Linked DNA regions of Arabidopsis thaliana. The protein of the gene in region 2 interacts with the protein of the main gene of each other region in a pairwise test. Each region holds a gene or a part of one and is shown on either strand. Other genes may lie near its edges.

The links.
Region 1: the proteins of AT3G57600 (region 2) and AT5G26749 interact in a two-hybrid assay, tested with the Arabidopsis thaliana proteins (one large-scale study listed by BioGRID).
Region 3: the proteins of AT3G57600 (region 2) and AT5G12980 interact in a two-hybrid assay, tested with the Arabidopsis thaliana proteins (one large-scale study listed by BioGRID).
Region 4: the proteins of AT3G57600 (region 2) and MYB56 interact in a two-hybrid assay, tested with the Arabidopsis thaliana proteins (one large-scale study listed by BioGRID).

What each region holds. Positions count from the first base shown.
Region 1 is NC_003076.8:9,396,938-9,402,432, reverse strand, and holds AT5G26749 (C2H2 and C2HC zinc fingers superfamily protein), read left to right. Parts: upstream 1-3,165; 5' UTR 3,166-3,193; coding exon 3,194-3,326; intron 3,327-3,410; coding exon 3,411-3,532; intron 3,533-3,679; coding exon 3,680-3,743; intron 3,744-3,874; coding exon 3,875-3,946; intron 3,947-4,038; coding exon 4,039-4,148; 3' UTR 4,149-4,418; downstream 4,419-5,495. Other genes in the region: SK 11 (shaggy-related kinase 11), read left to right, coding at 594-695, 773-865, 973-1,032, 1,128-1,400, 1,476-1,550, 1,647-1,703, 1,791-1,931, 2,019-2,069 and 4 more.
Region 2 is NC_003074.8:21,329,007-21,334,454, reverse strand, and holds AT3G57600 (Integrase-type DNA-binding superfamily protein), read right to left. Parts: upstream 1,682-5,448; 5' UTR 1,615-1,681; coding exon 781-1,614; 3' UTR 537-780; downstream 1-536. Other genes in the region: AT3G57590 (F-box and associated interaction domains-containing protein), read left to right, coding at 3,059-4,273; AT3G57587 (Ta11-like non-LTR retrotransposon), read right to left, coding at 5,098-5,448. UniProt on the Arabidopsis thaliana protein: Transcriptional activator that binds specifically to the DNA sequence 5'-[AG]CCGAC-3'. Binding to the C-repeat/DRE element mediates high salinity-inducible transcription.
Region 3 is NC_003076.8:4,103,604-4,110,553, forward strand, and holds AT5G12980 (Cell differentiation, Rcd1-like protein), read right to left. Parts: upstream 4,630-6,950; 5' UTR 4,537-4,629; coding exon 4,369-4,536; intron 3,928-4,368; coding exon 3,856-3,927; intron 3,681-3,855; coding exon 3,591-3,680; intron 3,469-3,590; coding exon 3,426-3,468; intron 3,193-3,425; coding exon 3,086-3,192; intron 2,862-3,085; coding exon 2,766-2,861; intron 2,553-2,765; coding exon 2,362-2,552; intron 2,279-2,361; coding exon 2,209-2,278; intron 2,058-2,208; coding exon 1,959-2,057; 3' UTR 1,780-1,958; downstream 1-1,779. Other genes in the region: AT5G12970 (Calcium-dependent lipid-binding (CaLB domain) plant phosphoribosyltransferase family protein), read left to right, coding at 1-1,698; CLE40 (CLAVATA3/ESR-RELATED 40), read right to left, coding at 5,631-5,732, 5,926-5,972, 6,072-6,165; GSL12 (glucan synthase-like 12), read right to left, coding at 6,842-6,950.
Region 4 is NC_003076.8:5,873,947-5,880,598, reverse strand, and holds MYB56 (myb domain protein 56), read right to left. Parts: upstream 3,487-6,652; 5' UTR 3,353-3,486; coding exon 2,971-3,352; intron 2,688-2,970; coding exon 2,262-2,687; intron 1,692-2,261; coding exon 1,528-1,691; 3' UTR 1,268-1,527; downstream 1-1,267. Other genes in the region: WOX12 (WUSCHEL related homeobox 12), read left to right, coding at 6-23. UniProt on the Arabidopsis thaliana protein: Acts as a cell-specific local repressor of quiescent center (QC) self-renewal by cell divisions in the primary root. Counteracts brassinosteroid (BR)-mediated cell division in the QC cells.

The DNA.
Region 1 (5,495 bases), on a different chromosome or scaffold from region 2:
CCGGAAAAATAAATAAAGTTAGAGAGAGAGATTCATAATCATCAAACCCACAAATCCTTTTTTTTTTTTTTGTTAAAACCCACAAATCCTTACTCGTACGGATCTCTCTCTCTTTAATATCCTAATTCTTCTCTTCATCGATCTGAGATTTTTACGTTTTCATCGGTACGTCTTAAAGATCTCTCTCTTTCTTCATCCCTTCTTCTGGGTTTTAGCTTCAGATCTGCTTCACCATGAATTTTAATTTAACCCATCATTTTAAAATCGACAGATTCTCTCTTCTCTACCAAACTCTAATTTGGTTTTAATGTTTGGGTCTTTTAAATTTTGCAACTTTTTTTGGGCTTATCATTATTTTTTTTGTTCCCGTTAAAAAAAAACTTTCCTTTTCGTAATTTTAGTGTTCTAAATTGTTTTTTACTTATTTGAAGTGTTCAATTGTTAAGCTTGAAAGAATTGTGTTTTGTTCCTTTATTGAAATTGAATTTGTGTGTTTTGTTATTAGTAAAGCAACAAACTTTACTCATTGGATTTTAATCTCTGTTGTTATTTGTTGCAGGCTTGAAAGTTTGAAGAGTTTTGTAGCCTGAAAAATGGCGTCAGTGGGTATAGCTCCTAATCCTGGAGCAAGAGACTCTACTGGTGTTGATAAATTGCCTGAAGAAATGAATGACATGAAAATTCGTGACGATAAAGTATGTTTCCATGCGTTGTAGTATAGTTTTTGGTATGTATTTCATGAGAATCTAAATAATGGATTGTGGTTTGTTAGGAAATGGAAGCGACAGTGGTAGATGGAAATGGAACAGAGACTGGACATATCATTGTGACTACTATTGGTGGTAGAAATGGCCAACCAAAACAGGTTTTTGATTCTTCTTCTTTGCAAAAAACTGTTCTTTTAATCTTCTTAAGTTAGTTGATTGGTTAGTGTTTCGTGTTTTTATTAATTTTTCTACAATGTCAATGCAGACAATTAGCTACATGGCTGAGCGTGTTGTTGGTCACGGATCTTTTGGTGTTGTGTTCCAAGTGAGTTTTTGTTAGCTTATCATCTCTCACGTTTTACATCATGTATCTATCAATTGACTGAATTGGATTCCTCTGTATTTTCTTATGTGATTTAGGCGAAATGTCTTGAGACAGGAGAAACTGTTGCGATAAAGAAAGTTTTACAAGATAGGAGGTACAAGAACCGTGAGCTTCAAACCATGAGGCTACTTGACCATCCTAATGTTGTGTCTCTGAAACATTGTTTCTTCTCAACCACTGAAAAAGATGAGCTTTACCTCAATCTTGTTCTTGAGTACGTTCCAGAAACTGTTCATCGTGTTATCAAACACTACAACAAACTGAATCAGAGAATGCCTCTTATATACGTCAAACTTTACACTTATCAGGTATCAATTATTACATTTCTGTTAGATTTAGAGTTATGTTTTGGATCTCTTATCGGATTTCTCTATGTTTGGCAGATTTTTAGAGCCTTATCTTACATTCACCGATGCATTGGTGTGTGTCATCGTGACATAAAACCTCAAAACTTGTTGGTATGTACAAGTTAAATAAACAGGAGCTCACAGTATACCCGGGAATATACTTTTCTTCATTGTCTAATGCTACTTTTTTCACCTGTAATGGAACAGGTAAATCCGCACACTCATCAAGTAAAGCTATGTGATTTTGGAAGTGCAAAAGTATTGGTGAGTTTGATAAACCTCTTCCGGGTACTTTGTTTCTTGGAAAAAGTTAGATTCAATCTTGTTGATCATTGTAATATCTGAAAACAGGTAAAAGGAGAACCAAACATTTCCTACATCTGCTCGAGGTATTACAGAGCACCTGAACTTATTTTTGGAGCAACCGAGTATACGACAGCCATTGATGTCTGGTCTGCAGGATGTGTTCTAGCTGAACTATTGCTTGGACAGGTAATGCATTAAATCTTATTCAAACATTTTTGTTCTACTTAACCTGGAATTTTGTGATTGACAAACTCTATTCTCTGCTCATGACAGCCCTTGTTCCCTGGTGAGAGCGGTGTTGATCAACTTGTAGAGATTATCAAGGTATAAGCTTTGCACTTGTTCACTTTGATAACAAGTTCTTGTTTTCAATAATACTGAGAGAAGATTTGATGTAATGTTTTTTGTTATGCTTTGGGGTAGGTCTTGGGAACGCCTACTAGAGAAGAAATCAAGTGCATGAACCCAAACTACACGGAATTCAAATTCCCTCAGATTAAAGCTCATCCATGGCACAAGGTAGAAATAAACTTATATTCATCAAATCAACTTGTCAATGTGTTATTCAGTAGCAGTTACAGTCAATGTGACAATATCTACTCGTCATAATATATTCACAGATTTTCCACAAACGCATGCCTCCAGAAGCTGTTGATTTGGTCTCAAGACTTCTTCAATACTCTCCTAATCTACGAAGTGCCGCTGTGAGTATTACTTACAAATTCAACATTCTTCTGTGAATCTTCTCGATGGTCCTTTCATTTCCTATTTTTCTTTTGTCTGACTTGCTTTTACTTGAATCGTAAACCTGATCACAGCTCGACACATTAGTCCACCCATTCTTTGATGAGTTAAGAGACCCAAACGCACGTCTACCTAATGGACGTTTCCTTCCACCGCTTTTCAACTTCAAGCCTCACGGTACAACATCTCCCTTTCCTAATGGTGTTTATCTCCAACTTACCTGTAAAATCATCAAAGTTTTACCTTACTAAAGCTATACCTGTAATTGTTGTGAAACAGAGCTGAAAGGTGTACCATTGGAGATGGTAGCTAAGTTAGTACCTGAGCATGCAAGGAAGCAGTGTCCTTGGCTCGGTTTGTGATTTCCTCTTAATGTAGCATGAACACAACAAACACTTCTTATAAATTACCTCTCTATGTATCAATATGTCACAAACTGATATGCACCCTTTGTTTGTTGTATGAGTAGAGAAAAAAAGAGTTATTACTATGGTTGGTTGGTTCATAATGTAAAAGCCCACCAAGATTTTTTATCTAGATAAAGAGTTTGCTACTTCTGCTTTTGTATCTTCTTCTTCCTCTGCAACATCATCAAACAAAGACCCTAAAAGTCACTGTAGCAAATACAAGTATCCTCACGCGCCTAAAACTAATAAAAGCCAAAACTTTTTGATTCTACGAGTCGTCGTCGTCATCGCCGGAAGATGCCGTCGGGGAAATATTACTGTGATTATTGCGAGAAAGAGTTTCAAGACACTCAAGTCGCTAGAAAACGCCATCTTCAAAGCAAACCTCATCTTCGAGCTAAAGCCCTTTGGTACAGTTCTTCTTCCTCAGGTATCTCTCTTCTCTCTTTTTTCTCTCTGTTTCTTAAAGGAACGATTTTTAACATCTCTGTTTCTTTTAATACGAAATTCTTAGATCTTGTTAATCCACAAGTCTCCAATTTTGCGACGAAAGGTCTCTGCAATCGATTCATTACCTCGGTACGTCGGATTGATTTTGTTTCGCTATGTTCATCATTCCTAGCAATCTCTGGATGTGTAAAGTCTTGTCCTTTTCGTTTATATTCTGGTGGAATCACACATTTTACATTGCTTTGTTTGATTCTGCAAAAAAATTCATTGCATATGTGTGTATGTATGTAATCTTCCAAGTAAAGTCTGTTCCTTTCTTAATGGGTTTTGCAGAATTTTTGCCCATTTGGAGATTCTTGCAGATACTTCCATCCTAACAACAATACAGGAAGCACAGGTTAGGTCAAAACCTGTTGATTTTTGACTTCAGTGATTTGGTCTCTTTTAGGCTACTTAAAGCTTTAAAGAAGTCTCTACTATGCGCAAGATTTGCTTAAAACATCATCCTCTTGTTGAATTCAAATGCAGGATTCACAAATAATACACAACTTCGTGTTGACATGCTTAACCAACAACACATCCAAGGAAGTACTTTAAACCGTATGCGTTCTTGTTTTTTCGTCATTCAAGTTCTCTAATATTTAAGCATTTATAGAAAATCTGATGTTGGAAGTTTGAATTGTCTAAAACAGGTGATTTTGTTAGTGGGAGACCAGGAACAGGTTGGTTTGATCTTCCGCCATCGCTAAAACCGCCTCCTGAGCAAGGCTATCCTCAGCTTCCCTTCATAGACTGGGGATAGATATAAATTCTCTGAATAATGCTCAGTTTCAACATTGATGATTCTACTTGAAAGGAAAAGACTAATCTTTGTCTCGTTGTGCTCTGCCATTACCAAGCTTTTAGCCACAAGCTTGTCTCTTTTCAGACTCGAGGTTGGAAGAATGTCAACCAAATTGTCGTCTTGTTACTCAATTTGTCGTCAACTTTAGAGACATTGTTCGGAGTTTGGACATGGCAAATTTGCAATTTAACATACTGTGCGATATTCTGATAAAATTCTTTAAATTTCGTTGGCTCGTCCCTATTCATTGCGTGATGATAGGATATCGCTAATTCGCTATCCGCTTCCTGGCCATGTGCTAAACAAGACTTCCCAAGCCAAACTATCAAAATATTTGACAAAGTTGGAGCAATTCCTAAGGCTGTAGATTAATTACAAAGTTGGAACAATTTTTTCCCTAGAAAATACATTATTGAGAAACAGAGTATAAGTTGGCTAAAAGAAAAATCAGATTGTTCAGAATCAAATATTTAAATTATTAACTTCATTTTCATTTCTTCAACTCCATAAAATAGAACTAATTTTAAACTCTTTATTGTTGAGAGAAATATCTTCGAATCTCCTAAGAGTAATTTAGTCGAGCATGTTGGTTTGAGTTTATAAAAGATAGGTTATGATTTATTAGTTAATATTTCAAATTTATATATTGGTTTTTAGGTTTATAATGGAGGGTTTTAGTTTATTTTTTATTTTAATTATGAACAAAGTAAATAGTTTGAGTTTATAAAGAAGAGTTTGATTAGCGTATTATAATTACTTATATGTCGGTTTAGGTTTAAGATTTTATAATTAAAGATTATATTTCTGTTAGGGTTTTAGGGTTTCAGGGTTATAATTAAAGGTTATATCTTATATTTCAGTTAGGATTTTATAATTAAAGGGATAGTTAAGGTTTTAGATCTTGTAATTAAATGTTATATTTCTGTTTAGATTTATAAAAAAGATTAGGATTTAGATTTTACGATTAAACGAGATTATAAGTCAATTTGAGTTTATAAAAGAATGCTTAGGGTTTGGATTTTACAACTAAATTCAATTAAATGTGGTTAAATAATTGTTTACGTTTTTATAAAAGAGTGATTATGGATTAGATTCTATAATTAAAAGAATTTAATTCTTGGGAGATTTGCAAAACTACCCTTTTGCAACAATACCCTTATATGTGGTTCTTTTTTAAAAATACCTTTTCCCTTGAACAGAATGACCAAATTACCCTCATCTAATAGTAACATGTAATTGGAAACTGAAATTTTCCCGCCATATTTTTTTTTTCCCGCCAAAAAAAACAATACCGCCAAACTTTTT
Region 2 (5,448 bases):
GAGAATTATTACTCTCTTTGGAATGACTAGTGTATCTGTTGCATTGTTTCTAATATTGGAATGAAGAGGAATTCTGTGCTTAAGCAGTGAGGTTGCTATATTCATAATGTTTAAGCTTTCGTGTTTGATCTTACTCTATTCGTTCCATTGATAAGAGATCCTTTTATGTCTTAAACCTGAGAAAGTCGTGAAGGTTCATTGTAGCTGCTGTTTATGCTTGTTGAATATCTGTGGATGTTATCTATACTTAGCAAATTTCTTCAGATTTTGATCAGTGCTGGCAGGTGAAACTTTCTGGTGGGAGTTTATGCATCGTGTGATATGTCTCTAGGTTATTCAGTTTTGTTGTTTTCTTTTCTCGACAGAAAGTTTGCGTTGGTCAGTTCGAAGGCGAATCTTAAAAATTTGTTCATACCATCATGATCTTTATTTATTGATCATGAGTTTCTAGTATTATTGAGATATTAGATGTGATCTCCATGAAAGGGGATATGATAGGTAAGCTTTTTTGCATTGTTACTTGCACAAAACATATCATTCTATTAGGGCCGTGACTTTCACTTACTATTTAAACTATCGAGCTAAAGGATAGCGAAAAAATGAACATGCTTCATTAATATACCAAAAAAAGCGAACAACTCGGTTGTACACTGACTCACTTTATTGCTGCATAATAAAAGACTGCACTCTCACTACCTATGTCTCTTTTCCAAAACGCTACACTAAATCCAAAACCATTTGTGTACTTCTGAATCTTGATCTACCTTAAATTGCTTTTACTCAATCTAAGCTTCCGTAGTAGTCCCAGATGGAAGGGAAGGATACATCATCCTCAAAATCATAGCTTCCGAAGTTGCTGGAGTCAAATTGCATAGTTGTGGTTTCACTTCTTGGCATCTCGATCAGGGTATCCCAGCTGAAATTCTCAGTTCTGAAAGGACTTCCAGTTTCTTCTTGCTCGTTCCATGGTGGAGGGGAATGACACTCTGCTACCTCACTTGGTTCTGCTTCATTTTCATCCTTCAAGATTCCTAGTTGCTGAAGAAACTCGGTCAGGTCGATCTCTGGTTTCTTCTGATCACCACCTTCGAACATATTGTCTGTTTCTCCCTTGCTGGTCTTCTCATCAAGAAAGCTAGTATTAGTTTTTGATTCGGTGGAGGAAGAACTAGAAGAATAGGATTGAGATAAAAGTCCAGTTTTCTTGAGTTCTTCTAGTCTTTGCTGGATTATGTGAACACTAGGCTGAGCATTCACGTTTAGCATACCACATGAAGGAAACATAGATATAAACTTCCTTGAAGGTACCCATTTGAACCTCTGAGAGTTACTCAGAGAAGGTCTTGTATTCCGCTGAAGATGAGGTAAGTTGAGGTATGCGTCGTGCCCATAGAGTTTCAAGGCAGCCTCATCATAAGCCATAGCTGCTTCTTCAGCTGTAGCGAAAGAGCCAAGCCAAAGTCTTGCCCTCTTCTTGGGCTCTCTGATCTCAGCCACCCATTTGCCCCAAGTCCTTTGCCTGACTCCACGGTACTGACAAAGAGCGTTTTGTGGACCGCCTTTACCCCGAGCAGGACCCTTCTTCCATTGTTTCATTGAGGATGATTTCTCCATTTGTGTTGTAGTGGAGAAGAAGATTGATAGTGAAGAAGGAAGAAGAGGATATGATAATGGAGCTTAGAAAGAGTATGTGAGTGCTTAAATAATGTCACGGTTCGCTTCAATTCCTAGAGAATTGCTTTTTTCACCCGCGCATGTGACCGTTGCTTTTCTCATATTCTGTTATTTTCAAAAGAAAAAAAAAAAAAAAAACTTTTAACCATTTTTGATCTCAACTTCATATTTATATAATTCTTCTACCTAGGCTCAAACTAGAATAATATAATCCCTAGTTCTTGGTGTCCCCTGCATTCCAAACAGTCGCAATGCCAACCTTATTAGTTATTACACCTTTTTGATGATAGCTTAAGAAGTTAGAACAATTGCACACACACATTTTTTTTTTTTTTGGATTATTATGTTCAAAAATTTCTGTTAATCATCAGGAACTCAAATGTTTTTTTTTTTGTTTTTCTTTGTTATGACTAGCTCTAATATTTTACTTGTACATGTTACCAAGATATCTAGCGAGACAAGGTTTTTTGGGTTCCTAGAATTATTTTTCTTGAGGACACTTTAAAGCTTTAAAGCTTTTACGATATCTCATCTTTATCTTTTTGTTGTTTCCTTCTTTCGTCGGAGAATCGGAGAGCCATGCATGAGAAAAAGAGAGGCAAGAGTCACGAGTCGTCGCAGCACACAAGAATCACATGTTCGATCGTGAGAGTGAAGTGACGTGTTTTCTTCATTCTCGAGATTTTCAGATTTAAGCGCCGCTCCCTTCACCATTATCCCATGCTTCTTCCTTCCTCTCTTACCATCACATTTAACTCACCACATTGTTCCCTAATCCCATTTATTTTAATAGTATATGACTTGTACATAATTCTACACAAATCCCAAAAAATAAAGAAAAAGTAATAACTGAACCCATTTTCTTCTGTTTCACTAAAGCAAAAACACAAACTGATTATATTTCTATTTCGTTTTTATTGATTGTTTAATCCAAAAAAAGGAGTGCTAAGCCTAATAAATTTATCTCTGTATTGACACATTTGTCACCAGATACTAAGCTTTTGCTTTAGCCATTAAACAATTGTTCTTCATCCTAAATCAAAAAGCAAGCTCTACCTCTACTGTCTTTTTTTTTTGTTGCTAATAGTAGCTAGAGATTCCATAACCAGTTACCAAAACATATTTGGTCTTTACATTTTACATGATATTTAGAATCCCTGTGAAAACTAATCCTTCATTCGCTACCACATATCTAACATACCGATTGGCACGTGAGAGAACAAACCAAAAGTCCCAATTATCGCAATGAATAAATGGGCTTAGCTCATTCACAACTATGCTAAAGCCCAAAGGCCCATACAATCCCAATCTTGTTGCGTCGTATTAAACCTTCTCCTTCTCCGACGAAACAATCACACACTCCGGCGGCAATAAACGCTTCTTCATGGAACCAATCCCAAATGATCTCATTCTCGAGATCTTCTCGAGATTGCCGGCGAAGTCAGTCATTGGATTTCGTACCTTGTCGAAGCACTGGGCGTCTATGCTTCGCAGTCCAGTTTTCACCGAGCTCTTCCTGACCAGATCCTCGAATCGTCCACGTCTGCTGTTTGCTGCCGAACGAAATGGTGAGTGGCTCTTCTTCTCGTCGCCGCAGCCACAGAATCGATATGAGAAGTCTTCTCATTTGGATTATCATACAAAATTCTCAGGAGACGTAAGCCGATTCATTTGTAGCTATGTCTCAGGTTTGCTCTGTTTCCCTGATTTGTGGCTCTCAAAAGATGCATCGCCTGTGATTTGTAACCCTACCACAGGAATGTATGAGAGCTTACCTGATCTGATGAGGTACAAAAATGCTCGAGGCTTTCTAGGGTTTGATCCCATTGGTAAGCAATTCAAGGTATTGTCTGAGGCTTATCCATTTTCTGATCAAAGGGAACATCATGAGATTCTGACATTAGGAACTGAGGAACTGAGCTGGAGGAGTAATATCATTAGTTGTCCTGCATATGATCGTTCTTTGAGTGAAGGAATATGTATCAATGGAGTTTTGTATTACTTAGCTCAGACTCTTGGTGTACCGTCTTGTGTGATCATTTGCTTTGATGTAAGGTCTGAGGAATTTAAGTATTTTGACGCAGGATGCTTTAATGATCAACTTGATGATACTAGTGGGTTGATTTTGGTAAACTATGAGGGTAAATTAAGTGGGATTAATTGGAAGTATGGTCAAGCTGGTGAAAGGCGCACCGTTGAGTTGCGTATGTGGGTTCTAGAGGATGCCGAGAAGCATGAATGGGTTAAATATGTGTACACTCTGCCGGAGAATGAAGTCCTTGATTCCTGCGACTTTTCAGTTGCTGGAGTGACTACTAGAGGTGATATTGTTTTGTGTATGAAATATACATGTAAACCGTTTTATGTGTTCTACTTCAATCCCGAGAGGAACACTCTCCAGAGCGTTGAAATCCAAGATTTTGGAGCTAACCTTGAAGCGGTTGAGAATTGTGGTAGAGTTTATGCTTTTGTTAACCATGTAGAGGATCTTCGGGTTAACAAAGGGAAGCAACTCAAGTCAAGCATCTCTCAAGTCAAGCATCTCTGCTCATGCTGTAACAAAGTATCGCAGCCTGATTATCATTACCAAAAGGCTTAAACCAAAGGGAGAGAAGAAATGAAAGAGACAGTAGGGAAGAAAAGAGACAAGGGATGAGGTAAAAAGCAGTAGGGCATGTCATATATGTGTTTATGTTCTTTAGTTATAGACGTTGGAAGATCTGTGAGTATGAATCAAATCTAGCTTTGGTAGTGTATTACAAATATTTTGAAGTGAATCGTATTGTAGCATTGTTGACCTTTTTTTGGTTAATCAATTTTTCCTATAGTTTAATGATATCTTCTACCCGAAATTAAAGTGCAATTTCTACTGTCTATTAAATTTCTGTACTCTGGTATCATTATTTTGTATTTTAAAAAGTAGCTGGAGATTCTATACCCAAACTTATTTGGTCTTTGCATTTCACATAATTTTATAGAATCTCTACGAAAAGTTAGGCCAATACCATCGTTTGCTTGCTAGCACACATACGGACTTCATTGGCACATGAGAGAACAAACCATAAATTACGACAATGAATAAATGAGCTCATTCACAATTACGCTAAAGCCCAAAGGCCCATCAAATTCACTGTCTATTTCTTTCGTTTTTTTTTTTTTTTTTCCCTAAAAGTTATCTTTCATTCATTCATGTCATTGTGTTCTTACAAAAAGTGTTTGAGTGGTCTAACCACTTACAAACCTTTGATTCAAACATAACAAGATGATCTTAGAAGTAAAACGAGAAACATGAAATAATAAACCTGAAACTTAACAAAGTTAAGGATATGTCAGAACCAAAAAAACATATCCAACTACTTGAAGCTGCTATCCTAGATTCCCTGTAGTCTTCAACAAAAATTGACAGAAGTCTTGTTAGAGTGGTTATCTCTTTTTGGGAGGTTTCAGACTCTCTCCCATTCTTGAAGCACTGTGTAGACGAGTTTGAAGTCTAGGATCCTCTGCTTCTCTTCTTACTTCCTGTCTTCTTGAGGATTGACCGACTTCAAAGACTCTGTTGTTATCATGATTAGGAGTGTCTGCTCTTGTTGGAGTGGTACTAGAACTCGATGACCATTGTTGTCTTGCAGTACTAGATTCTCCAACATGTAATGTATGAGTATCTCTAACTGATGCATAGTATGGATACGCAGCTCTCAATTCTTCAGGATTCAGTGGTGGATGAGCAATTCTAGGAGGCGGTGTCACAGGAGCAGGAAATGAAGTCTCCGTCAT
Region 3 (6,950 bases), on a different chromosome or scaffold from region 2:
GTCAATGTAATTGAGGCTCAAGATTTGATACCTCATGATAAAACCAAGTTCCCTGAGGTTTACGTGAAAGCAATGCTCGGAAACCAGACTCTGAGAACACGTATTTCTCAGACCAAAACATTGAATCCGATGTGGAATGAAGATCTGATGTTTGTTGTTGCTGAGCCTTTTGAGGAAGCTTTGATTCTCGCGGTGGAAGATAGGGTTGCACCGAATAAAGATGAAACGTTAGGCCGGTGTGCAATCCCGTTGCAGAACGTCCAAAGAAGGTTAGACCATAGGCCGCTTAACTCGAGGTGGTTCAACCTGGAGAAACATATTATGGTGGAAGGAGAGCAAAAAGAGATCAAATTCGCAAGCAGAATTCATCTAAGAATCTTTCTTGAAGGTGGGTACCATGTTCTTGATGAATCAACTCACTACAGCAGCGACCTAAGGCCAACCGCAAAACAGCTATGGAAACCGAGTATCGGACTGCTTGAAGTAGGGATCATAAGTGCACACGGGCTGATGCCAATGAAGTCAAAAGACGGGAAGGGGACAACAGATGCATATTGCGTGGCTAAGTATGGGCAGAAATGGATTAGAACAAGAACAATCGTGGATAGTTTTACGCCTAAATGGAATGAGCAGTACACATGGGAAGTGTTTGACACCTGCACTGTCATAACTTTTGGAGCATTCGACAACGGACACATTCCAGGCGGAAGCGGAAAAGACTTGAGAATCGGGAAAGTGAGAATCCGGCTCTCTACCCTTGAAGCTGACCGTATCTACACTCATTCATATCCGCTACTCGTCTTTCATCCTTCTGGGATCAAGAAGACAGGTGAAATACAGTTAGCTGTGCGGTTCACTTGCCTATCTCTCATCAACATGCTTCATATGTATTCTCAGCCATTACTACCCAAAATGCATTACATCCATCCGTTATCGGTTCTCCAGCTGGACAGCCTGAGACACCAGGCGATGAACATTGTCTCGGCAAGGCTGAACCGCGCAGAGCCGCCTCTTCGCAAAGAGATTGTGGAGTACATGCTCGATGTTGACTCCCATATGTGGAGCATGAGGAGGAGTAAAGCTAACTTCTTCAGAATCATGAATGTTCTGAGTGGTCTCATTGCTGTTGGAAAATGGTTTGATCAGATCTGCAACTGGAGAAACCCAATAACCACAATTCTCATTCATGTTCTTTTCATTATCTTAGTTCTTTACCCGGAATTAATCCTCCCAACGGTTTTCTTGTACCTTTTCTTGATTGGGATCTGGAATTTCCGGTGGAGACCAAGGCACCCGCCACACATGGACACACGGTTGTCCCATGCAGACGCTGTTCACCCCGACGAGCTTGATGAAGAGTTTGATACTTTCCCGACTTCCCGATCCTCTGAGATTGTGCGGATGCGATATGACCGGCTCAGAAGCATAGGAGGACGGGTTCAGACCGTGATAGGCGATCTAGCAACACAGGGAGAGCGGTTTTTATCGCTGCTGAGCTGGAGAGACCCGAGGGCAACCACATTGTTTGTGCTTTTCTGTCTCATAGCTGCTATCGTGTTGTATGTTACGCCGTTTCAGGTTGTTGCACTTCTTGCTGGGATCTATGTGCTGAGGCATCCAAGGTTCAGGCACAAGCTACCCTCTGTGCCGCTCAATCTCTTCAGGAGGCTACCTGCAAGATCTGACAGTCTATTATAGATAAATTTATCTGCATCAGCTTTTGTAAAACGTTTGTTGGATTTAAAAAAACTTTGGGTTTAATGCTTAATTCGGTCTTTTCAATGGAATTTTAGTTATATTGATTGCAACATCATAAGACGGTCAAGAAATCCAAATACATATATCCATCAAACTCAAAATCTTTGGTTGGGTTTCTGTTTCTCATCTGTAATTCTGTTTCCAACTAACTTTTTTTGTCCAATGAATAACAGTTTCTGCCCAGACTATAAGGGTTCGATTTAATTCACAAACATATGAGCCAACCCTTGAGGTGCTCTCCCGCCAACGTTAACGTTGTGGAGCAGTTGCTGCAGCCATTGCATTGCAGGTGGGTCATCCTGCCAAATTAAGTGAGACGATTAGCTAAAAACAGTCAAGTCTCAAGTATCAAAAGAATTGAGTCGTGATAACAATAAACTGATAGATAACAATTTGGTATCAGAATCACTAATAATTGGTTATGATGCTATCAAGAGATATGACACTTACATAGAGACAACCACTGAAAGTAGCATCCCTCAGAAGATCTGGAAGGCAACTTCCAAGTGCATCGCATGCTCTGAATGTCATCAGTAACTGTATTGTGTAAGCACGAGTGTATAATATGGTTTTCAAATGAAGGAAAATGGATAATTATTGCACCTGGGGTTATCTGTCAAGCGAAGATAGCAGCGTATGATGTGCTTTAGTAGCCTAGCGGACGGTCCTTCTGCAAGTGAAGTAACCATATTTCCCAAAACCCGACCCAGAGCAAAGAATCTCTCCGCTGTCGTGCACATGTACTCAAGCCCAACATCGTCCAGCAAAACTTTCTGAACAATGAAAGTAGCAACCTGACATAACCGTTCAAATAAATCAATCAGATGAACTGTACATGACCAAAACCAATCAGAAACATCAATTGCAGAAGAAAACTTATACAAGTTCTTTGTATGAAGCAAAGATTTCAGATATTTGCAACTGGCTGTATAAATGATAGGAAACTTGATATACATTTTTCAAGCATGTGAATCTAAAGAGAAGCATCTGAAGATAGACAAACTTACAGTCTTTGATAACTCGCTGCCATTCTCCATTGTCCGGAGGCACAATGGGACAATCTCAGTTTGAAGAAGGAATCTGATCACTTCAGTATCATCAACCTACCAAACCAAATGAACGATGTTGCAAGACCAATATCACTAATGATGTCTTAACAGGATCTACTCAAAGGTCTTAGCATGCTAAAATCGTTGTTTCTCAAATCACCAAAATATTTATTTACAGCCAAACAGTTGTTAGCATGTAAAAGAAGTGTTCCTGCCTTTTTGGCATAAACATACTAAATAACTAGACGAGGAAACAAAACTCAAATATCAATACATACCTTAACAAGTGCACCAATAACCCCCAAGCTAGTCAGCCGCAGGTACTCAAACGGTCTTGATTTGCTTGATGTATTCAAGAAAGCATACAGGTACAATGGCAGATGGGCTGTATTTTGAAAAGCAACAGACTTTAAACTTTAAGCATATTATAGCCAAACACACATCTAATAAATGAGATCAATCAGAAAGAGACCAACAAGGTGGCTCTTAAAACTAGTTTTGGTAGACGGGTTGGGTATTCAACTAATGCAATCTATCTCTATAACTTTAGTCACAGAGCAAACACCGAAATTATTTGAATGAGAACTAAGGAAGAATTGTTCGGGCACAGGACTGTACCTTTTAGGAACAACATTCTCGTATCAGTATGAGAAGCAACACACTGGATGTACGAAAAAAGAGTCGAATCAATAAAAAATAGAGTCTTCCAAATTGAACATACATATATAAACGTTTGTAAGTCTCCCTAAAAAAGAAAGAGGAAACTGACAATATTTTATGCACCTGAAGAAGAGCAAGTGCATTGCACACCCTGTTAGATTGAGCAGGAGTCATGGTTGGAGGAGATAGGGCAGGGTAAACTGCGATAATCTCCTGAAAAGAGGAAAGAAAGAAAATGACTAGATCTTAACCAATACAATGTACATCAAATCTCAAAAGTTAAAATGCTAAAACTATAACAGTATATAGAGAAGCCAGAAATCAATAAATAAATTCCCCTGAAGAATAAAGGAACAAGTGCCATATAATAACATGGAGGAGAGGGTACCTGTAGAAGAGCAGGAATGGTACCAACAGAATGCCATAAAAGCGGAGCCAAATCTTGAAAGATCTCTCTCTTCTGAAATAATGAAACACGGGATTAGACATGAATTTCAGTGAGAAGAACTTCTTAATGTATGAAATCAAAAGCAATGAGTACAGTAAACATCAAAACCATTTGATTTTTTAATTGTCCAGACGTTTAACTTCAGTGAAGAATCCTCATACCAACTTAAATTGCTCACCAATCGAGATCAACGCCTTAATCAGTGTTGAACTATTTCGATTATTTAATTTCATCCCCTATTCATGCAGGTTTACAATCTCAACAATAATCGTACAAATTCCCTCAAAATTTGCGGCAAGGAAGAATTAGGAGTCGGTAATCTAAAAGCATGTCTACGATTCACCGGACTAAACAACCAAATACATTCGAAATTCCATTCAATAGAACGCAGAAAACGAAAACCCAAACGATCAAAAATTCGCGAGTAAGAGAATTCGGTGAGAGAGAGATGACCTTAGACAACTCGTGAAGTGCATTTTCTCTGAGTTCGGGATTGCTGAGATCGAGAATTAACTGCTCCGCCGATGATAGCTTCCGATCGTTGTTGGAGGAAGAAGAAGGAGAAGAAGCTCCTGAGAGGGCGACAGATTTCATGGAGAGCGGAGGAGGAAGATTAGCCATTAGAGCCCCGTCACCGTTTACACGCGCCGCAGAGAGAATCGCTACTTGTGACAGTGAAAGGAGGAGATGTATTTATAGGACCTAAGGGGGGCGTGTATGTCACGTGCCTCGCTTGCTCCGTTACGGGATTTGTTCAAATCTAAATCTCACGTGACTTGTGAAAAAAAAAAAAAAACTCTCACGTGACTCTCCCGTGCCTCACACAACTTAAGATTCTGAAAGATAGATTATAAGATTTACATGATTCACATTATGACTTAGCTAATGTAGAAGACAATAAAAAAACATAGGTATTTTGATATCAACAAGCCAAAAAAACACACACTATATCTACTTTGTTTGTGGCGCCAAAATAAACTGATTTAATATCTTTATTTATTGCGGTACAATAAATAGTTTAACCGTATATCCTTTTATTTTTGTTTAACATGAATTTGTCGTGTCACTCGGTGTAACATGCAAGGGGAATATGTGGCTCCAAAACTCAACAAGTAGTGGTCGATTGGCTACCGAAACTAATTAAGGTCAATGCAATAATTTTATTGACAAACAATCTAGCATCAACAAATCTATATACAGTCACAAAATTAGAACTAGATACACCATATTGTCCTTATAAAGAAAATATATCTTACCGTTTTAAAACTAAAATCAGACAAAATTCTAGTACAAAACCTTAGACAACCAATCTACCACTTCACATCCAAAAGATCGGTTTTCCCAAGTTTCTTCTAGAAACAAATGTCACAGAATAATTAATTGTGATTTGATACCAACTTAAAACACTCTAAACCCAAAATTTATATATACAATTGATGTCACGAATGCTTCCGACTTCATCTTGAGAACTAACTCATCACAAAAATTGAATTGGAAGTTGTTACGCTTTGGCATCTTTCCAAAGCATCCACAAAATCTTGGCTGAAGTAATTGAAATACTCTATAGTAAATAACGAAGTTAATCATTTTCAACCTGAAATAGAAATTTAACATTCGGATAAACAAAACTCAAAACTAGAATGTGAAAAGCATTACAAACTAATATGTCAACAATGGGAAACAGAAGATACAGAAAAAAGATATAAGGAATGAATCTATGGAGTAAAAGGAATGTGTTTATGATGAAGAGGGTCGGATCCAGTTGGAACTTGTCTTTCTTCAACTTCATTAGCTGTTCCTCCATCAATCTTCTTCTCCTGTTTTCAGTACCAAAACAAAAAATTAATCATCTTTGCATCAAAATCATATAGAAAAATACAAACGAATATCAAATGCAAAGAGCTAGCTAGAAAACAAAAAGTTTCATACTTTTTATTGTAAAAATAAGAAACGAATTGTTCATTTCCTTCAAAACAGTCGCGTTGTGTTTCTAGGAAGAGATTTTCTTACCTTTTTCATGGCTTTCGTATCTTGTGTTTCTCCTAACCAAAAGAAGGCTAGAAACAAAAAGAACAAAGAGGATTGATTCATCATGTTTTGAACCCAAACGATGAATAAAGATGAGAATATTATTAAACATATCACATGACACTTACATTTTGTAGAAGAAGAGTGAGCAAGTAGTGAGGACGAAAGAAGAAGGATGACTAATATGATAAAAACGCTTCCTTTGTATTTCATCGCCGCCATTTCAAAAACCTCTTTGTGGTAAGAGTCTCGACAAGAGTGACGAGAGGTGTGTCGTCGTCTAATAAGGTGAAAGTTCCGGGTTTTAACCTCGTTTTACAGCTTTGTTGGGGCCAAATCCGTCATTTTGGTTGTTCTTTTTGGGATGAGATTTAAGCTGTACGGACACAGATTACCGTTTACAGGCTGGCTCGAACCAAGACAAATTATCATTCTCGTACAAATGTCGTGGTGCCACGTATCGCCGCCACGTCTCCGCTTATTTGTCGAACCAAACATTGTCACAACTTCCCGCCATTTTTTAAGTTGTCTTTCAACGAAGCAGAGGAAACTAGGGCTAATCCTTCTTAGAAGATCGTGGGCTTTCCTTATCGGCCCATTAATGAACCCAGTTGGTAACTAGGGAATTTTTGAAAGCTTTGTTGTCGCTGTATCTTATAGGCCAAGCAAAAGTTGTTAGTAAGTTCCTTATCTTCCTCGACATGGACCAATGGAGGTCTTCAACTAAATAATTAAACAGTCATTAAATGATAGATAACGTCTAATTTATAGATGAATACTACAATGTTTTTACCTAAGCGATATATTGAAAACTAAATTACATTAACCCTAATCATCCATGAAGATAAAAAAGGGATAAATTAAGATCCCTTCCCTGTCATTACAATGAAGAGATGAATCATTCCTTGTTTCGAGAAGAGCGATCCTTACGATGACCTCCAAGGATACGAGAGATCTGAAGACCTCTACTGAAAGCTTGATTAAAGAGCATACGCGTTTGGAACTCT
Region 4 (6,652 bases), on a different chromosome or scaffold from region 2:
GACAGGTACCGAGACAGACATGAACTGGCTGTTTTATGTGGGAACATATACGGTCGATTGTTTTCTTTTTTACCTCTATTGATTTCGTGTCTATCGTGTATAATTAGATTACAAATAAGTAATAATAAAAAGATTAAATAAATGTTGGACTCGTCAGATATTTTGCTTTCTTGTCGATTCTTGCTCGCCTGAACACAAACCTTATCTATCAAAACAAGCCAAATCTTAATATTTTTTTTTTCCACAGCCAAATCTTAATTAGAGATCTAGTTTGTGGAAAAAAGATGTCCCTCGGACTTGATATATTTAAAGATAATCCAAAAAATTAAACTGGTATGTACAAAAATCTTGATTTTTCGATGTAAATAGATCATCTTAGTACATAGCTGATCTAATCTATTTATCCAATGGATGAAAGGTATTAAGGTACTTTATACCATTCTCGATCGAGGATTATTATTTCTGTTTATCCTAGAGGATAACATTTAACATATCTTATCAAGTGAACATTTTTAATTTCTTAACTAACCAAGTGAACAATTAAACGAACAAAAAGAACTAAATGAATGACGGAATGAGAGAGCCAAAAGTAAAGTGTGTAAGTAATATGATTATGATTTTTTTTTTAAACAGAAAAATCAAATATAATGATTTAAATGCGAATCATAATCATATCACTAACAAAGTGCGTATATTTCTATATATGAATAGCAATTTGTAAAGTACACTAGTACAAATACAGTACTCGACACAGATCGCTAGTTACCATTTTTTCTTCTTGGGGATGTCAATTTTGTGAACTTGATATAATAATGAAAGAAGGGTAGGGTTTTTTTTTTTTTTTTTTTTGAACAGAGAAAGAAGGGTAGGGTTAAGTTCAAAATTACGACAAGAAACGAGTAAGCCCACTTCTATGTGAGCTTTTTGGACCCTTTGTAAATGAAAGGTACGTCTATATATGGGTTTCTTTTGTAGTCCTAGGCCCAACTTAACAATGTAGCTGGTATCCGATAATAGGGATCCGAGCCGAGCCGAGTAATTGAGATTTTAAATTTAAACAAGAACTCATTTCCCACGTTGATTATTTACTTAGAAATTCCTGAATTATTTATATATGTGACATTCCAAAAATAGCAGATAACATCCTTCATGTAATGCACTATAAAATGCAATAGGTTTATGATCAAAGCTTGTAATTTACCAACAAAAATAACTCGCTGGTTTTAGTTACTGCTATTGTTTCATAATCTATGTTAAATTTGCGTGTGTGAGTAAGGAAAATTGCAATATTTTATGAACACTTATTCTAATTCTACAGAAAAGAGGTTGATTATATATTCAACTTTTTATTTTACTTCTAGGTTTTGTTTTTGTTTTCAGTTTTCCCTCATACCGCTTACTTCTTCCAAAACCCAAATTAAGATGTTAAACAAACATGCCTAATTAACCAGGAAAAATAGAAGAAACTAAAGCCATTTCTTATCTCACAATTCCTCAGCATTGAACCCTAGCTCTGCAACTAATTAATCAGGAAGCTCCAACTCCAAGAAAATCAAAGTAGTAATAGCCACTCCTCATCTTCATCTCCACCTTTCTTTCACTGACTGAGATTGTGTGGTGATTTTGATGGTCCATCTTTTTACCATATATGCCATTTACTTCTGCTCTCTGCACACACTGACCATCTTTGCCTGCAAAATTAGAAAAATAAGTTCTCAGCACCCACGTGAAATTTTGTTATATTGAAATAGTAACGTGACAATAGTACTTCACCTCCTTATATTATTATGCCTATAGGTACTCTTACGATGTAAAAACAGTTTCTTTCTTTTCTAGTCATTCAAATTTATAATTATTGCCATGTATATGAAAAAGTGTAGGAAGTGGTCACTCGTCGTCGGTTATACAACATGTCGGCCTAAATTATCATTTTATATGCTTTGAACATTCAAAAATTAACAAGACTGGAATCTAATAAGCTAAATTTAGACCACAAATGATATTTGGAAGTACCGGTTAAAGTATAAACCGATCATGATCAACGATACACCCAATAAAGATTGCAATACGATCTCGACCAACCGACCGAGATCATTATAGTTAGATTCACGAAAACACTTCTCAAGAAAGCCGAAAACGAAAAAAAACATTCCAAGTTTCTATACTTTTAATGTCTTGGGTCATGAAAATAATATATTTTCAATAGAGAAAAAAAAAAAACATAGTAAACATAATATTTAAGCAAATAAATAAAATGTTACCTGATGCAAGGGTACTATCGTAATTAAAGAAGCGAGGCTGGTAAGCTGAAGAAGGCGGAGTGAGAGAGAGCTCCGTCGTACAAGTAGAGACAGCTGACACATCGTCGTCGTCATCTTCTTCATTGATGAACTTACCTTGATTGTAGCGGCAAGAGGACGAAACCGTCATTTCAGCGTCTCTTGACAACGTCGGAGGAGGCTGTTGACGTTGTCTTTGGCTTTCTCTAGTCCGTCGAGCCATGATGACGTGCCAATGGTTCTTGACAGCGTTATCGGTACGACCTGGAAAGAGACGAGAGATCAAAGCCCACTTGTTGCCATAGGCTCGATGAGCTGCTAACAGCCTAAACTCTTCTTCCTCCGTGAAGGCTCTCTTGTTAATCCTTGGGTCTAGTTGGTTAAACCATCTCAATCTACAACTCTTGCCTGTAGTCAAAGAAGTGTCCCTCACATTATAAAAATTAGTTACTATCAAGCATTATGTCATTATGCCTTATACAACTTAGTCTAACTTGTAAAAACTATTTTTAAAAAAATCCAAACACAATTACGAAAATGCCTAATAACTTTGGAAACTCAACTCACCAAAGTTTTTAAATATATTTACTTATTTTTCTTCTACATAAAAATAGTTAAATTTGCGGAATTTGGAGTAACAAAAGTGAAGGAAATAATTAAGTAATAAGAATTTTAAGTAAAATAAATGTACCTGATCTACCAAGAAGGTGGTTAGAAATCAAGTTCCAGTTTTGGGGACCAAACTGGGCAACAAGCTCCTTGAGTTTAGCATCTTCTGTTGGTCTCCAGTGTCCTCGTGAGCATACTTTTGTGTTAATTCCACTTTTGCCCCTCATTCTTAAACTCTTTTCGTTTTCACCTCTCTCGTTCCCATGTTCATCTTCCGACTCCAAGACTGAGGCTGATTTGTTGTGAGGATGGTTTCTAGAGATAGAGGGGTTGTTGAGTGAAGTTTTACAAGCAGCAGTGTGTGAGTTTGGTAGAGATCTGAAGTTGTTTGCTTCTTTGTATCTTATTGACCCATTTGTAGTTTCCTTACCTCTTAGATCTTTCTCAAGGAGATTTGGATTCATGTTTCTGGGTTTAGGGATTAAGGGAAGAGAAACTAAAAATAGAAGAGAGATAGAGGGAGAGAGCACTTGAATGGCTTTTCACTGTTTATATGGTGGAAGAGGAAAGAGAGATTCTCTAAAAAAAATTATTGAAATTTATATTTTTATTTACATTTATTTGCAAGCTAGTTAATATATATAGAAGAATATTTTAGAAAATGATGATGAGTGCAGAGTGGTTATTTAATGTACATGAAAAACAAAATTGATAGCTGTTTATTCACACACCAAAAGAAATTGAAGGGAAAGTTTTGTAAAAGCATATTCAAATGAATTACAAGTGTTAATTACCAAATTGTGGCCTAATAATCCCATGCTAATGGTTTTATACAATTACGTGCGGTTTCATTTTATTTATCATTTTTTTTTTTTTTTCAGCAACCACATTTTAACTATATTTATAGTCGATGCCTCGATGGTGGTCGTACAAAATCGAAATTCGATCATTAAAATTCCAAGATAGATCTATAACAATTTTTCATCACTATCTTCATAAGAGCTGCTTGTTATTGTACTAATATTGTGTTAATTAAATAGTTAAAATGAAACCGCACGAAAACATTAAATATTCAAGGTTCACGTTTTCCTTCACGTACGTTGCGATTTAGTTTTTACTCTTACACGAAAAATTTCGAATAATGAGATACTTTCAGTACAAAGCTCTCTCTCTCTACACGTGCAAAAGTAAGGGATTTGGAAAAGTCGGTGGGTACGTGTAGTGTAGATGCATGCAAAACGAGACCCGCTCGTGCGTGTGGGAGGGTTCGATGACCATAGGCCCCACAGTCTCAACAGTCTCGGAAACTCCAAAAAACATTTTTGAACCGCTCGTGTGGCTATAGTATATACTATGCACACATACAGATATTGCACGTACGTTAAGTGTGTGTGTGTGAGTTAATTATGGGAAAAAACAACAGAATCAATTTTTGTCTGTTTCGGACACAAAGCAAGAAAAGATCTTAAAGGGAGAGAAATAAATTGCTTTTATGAGCTTTCTGTTCTCTCCATAACGTATAAGTGTGTATATATATATTCGCATCTTTCAAAGAACTCGTTTTGTGTAGTTAAATTATAAAGTAATATGATGATTAGCTCAACAACTAGTTCAAGTACTTCAATATCTTTTGAACGATGGGTTCGACGTCGTTTGGGGTGTATACATTTTTACTTATATACTATATTCAGTGAAATTCAAGCATTGTTTTTGTTTATTACTTAAATAGTTAATTGAACTCAAACAATGTTGTGCGTACATTTAATGGAAAACAGACGTGGCAAACAGAAAACATATGCACATCCTATATTTTTTGCTACTAGTTTAAATTTAAATTTTGCTGTAATTTTTGTTTCAGGATGAAATATATAATCTTTGTTGAAGTTTTTTAAAAAAAACTATCATCAAATTGGTTATTTTAAAGTAAGTTTTAGGTACGAAGGGAACATAGTTTTTTTAATTTTTAGGAAAACTAAAAGTACAAAAAAGAGAAGAAAATGTGAATGGTGACAAACAAAAGTTCAATTCATTTCTTATAAACCAAAAATAATAATTGAACAACCAACTCTATTGAAGACCATTATTATTCAATGATATGGACTATTTATGCTCCCATTGAACCTATAAGTTGTAGACTTTAGTTTTTTGTATCTTTTTGATATAAGAATTGAGTGGTCATTCGTTTGAATGTAATAATTATCTTTCATGCGTAACAACTTACTATAGTCTTGATATGACTAAACAAAGCTACATATTTTAGTAATTGTACTAAACTCGATCGAGTATGCAACCACATAATTTTGATGGATTAAAATACTAGAGATTAAAGAGAGAAATCATGTAACTGAACTCGAACTAGAATTAAATTCAACAATAATAAATGAAGAATAAAACAAATATAACACGAATAGACGTTAGAAACCAAAGAAACGACAGAAAAGTACCTAAAGTTTTTTATTTATTGTGTCTTGTTTTTATGTGAGTTTCGGTTATGGGAACGGTTTCGTTAATTTTGAAATCTTCTGTTGACGACAAAAAAAAAGTCTTGTACCGACGTGGAATGACGACATCATTGGCTGTTACACACGAGCGGATCGTGTTCTTACCTAACACGTGTACCGTCCTCACGAATTTCAGTTTCCGGTTCATAGAAAAGTTCCCCGAACCGTTATGGACCAATTCCACTTTTCTTTTGTTTTTTTATTAAGATACTTTGAATGATTATTATTTAATAACATTTTTGCAAATCATATTCTCGACTATGGAAGAATTATTTTTTTCCAACGACCATGAAAGTGGTCTGTAATTTGAAAGATTGTTGTATAATTTTGGGGTAAGAAGAGATAATATTAAAGACATACCGATAAACAAACATATATGAAAGATGTGGAGTATATGTAATATGTTTCGGGGGATAGATATTTTTTGTTTCGTTTGGGTTGCCATTTATTTTACAGCTATTTTATAAAAGTAATCGATTTTTAATGAGGGAGTTGTTTCATCAAATACTATCGACTGTATTTTAGGGGTTACATTTAAGATTATCAAAACTTCGACTTAAATTCAAACGTCTAATATAAAATTTTATGTGAAGTTGTTTAATGGTCCGATTAATAGCGCAAGACGGTAAGAGCTTTGTAACTGTACAAAATAGTGATAAAAATGGTGGTATGGTTGAATATGGTAAAAATGATAAGAGATGAAAAATGGTACGATAAGAAGTCGTTAGACCAAAAAACTAGCTGCATATTGAATTAGTTCGAATGAATAATAGGATTGCTTTTTCTACATAGTTCTGAGGTTACTTCTCTTTCGGTAGTTCGTGGATCCATCGGATCATGTTCGTCATTTGATAAAGTCGTCGGTGAATTTTACGAAATGGTTAGTGGTTATTGATCATTGTTTAACCACAATTTCTAACACTCTCACTTGTACGATTAAAGTTAATGGAATTGTGTTTTTCTTATCCTTTTAAAATTTGAGACAATCTTTCAATAGACCCAGAAAACAAAAGGTGGCGAGAAAAGGTAACTTCGAAACTCCAAGCGCTAAAATAATGTTCGGATAATCATGATTCATGAGATAAGTCACACTAATTACATTAACATAGAAAAAGTTTCTTTAAAACTTCTTGATTAGTTTTAAAGAAGACACTTTAACTAATTTGAGGAATTTAGGGCTTTATCTCATGATGTAATGACATAAAGTCTCTTTATTAAAATTGAATTTTAATTACAAATCATGTCAAAGTTGTTAGCCCGTCC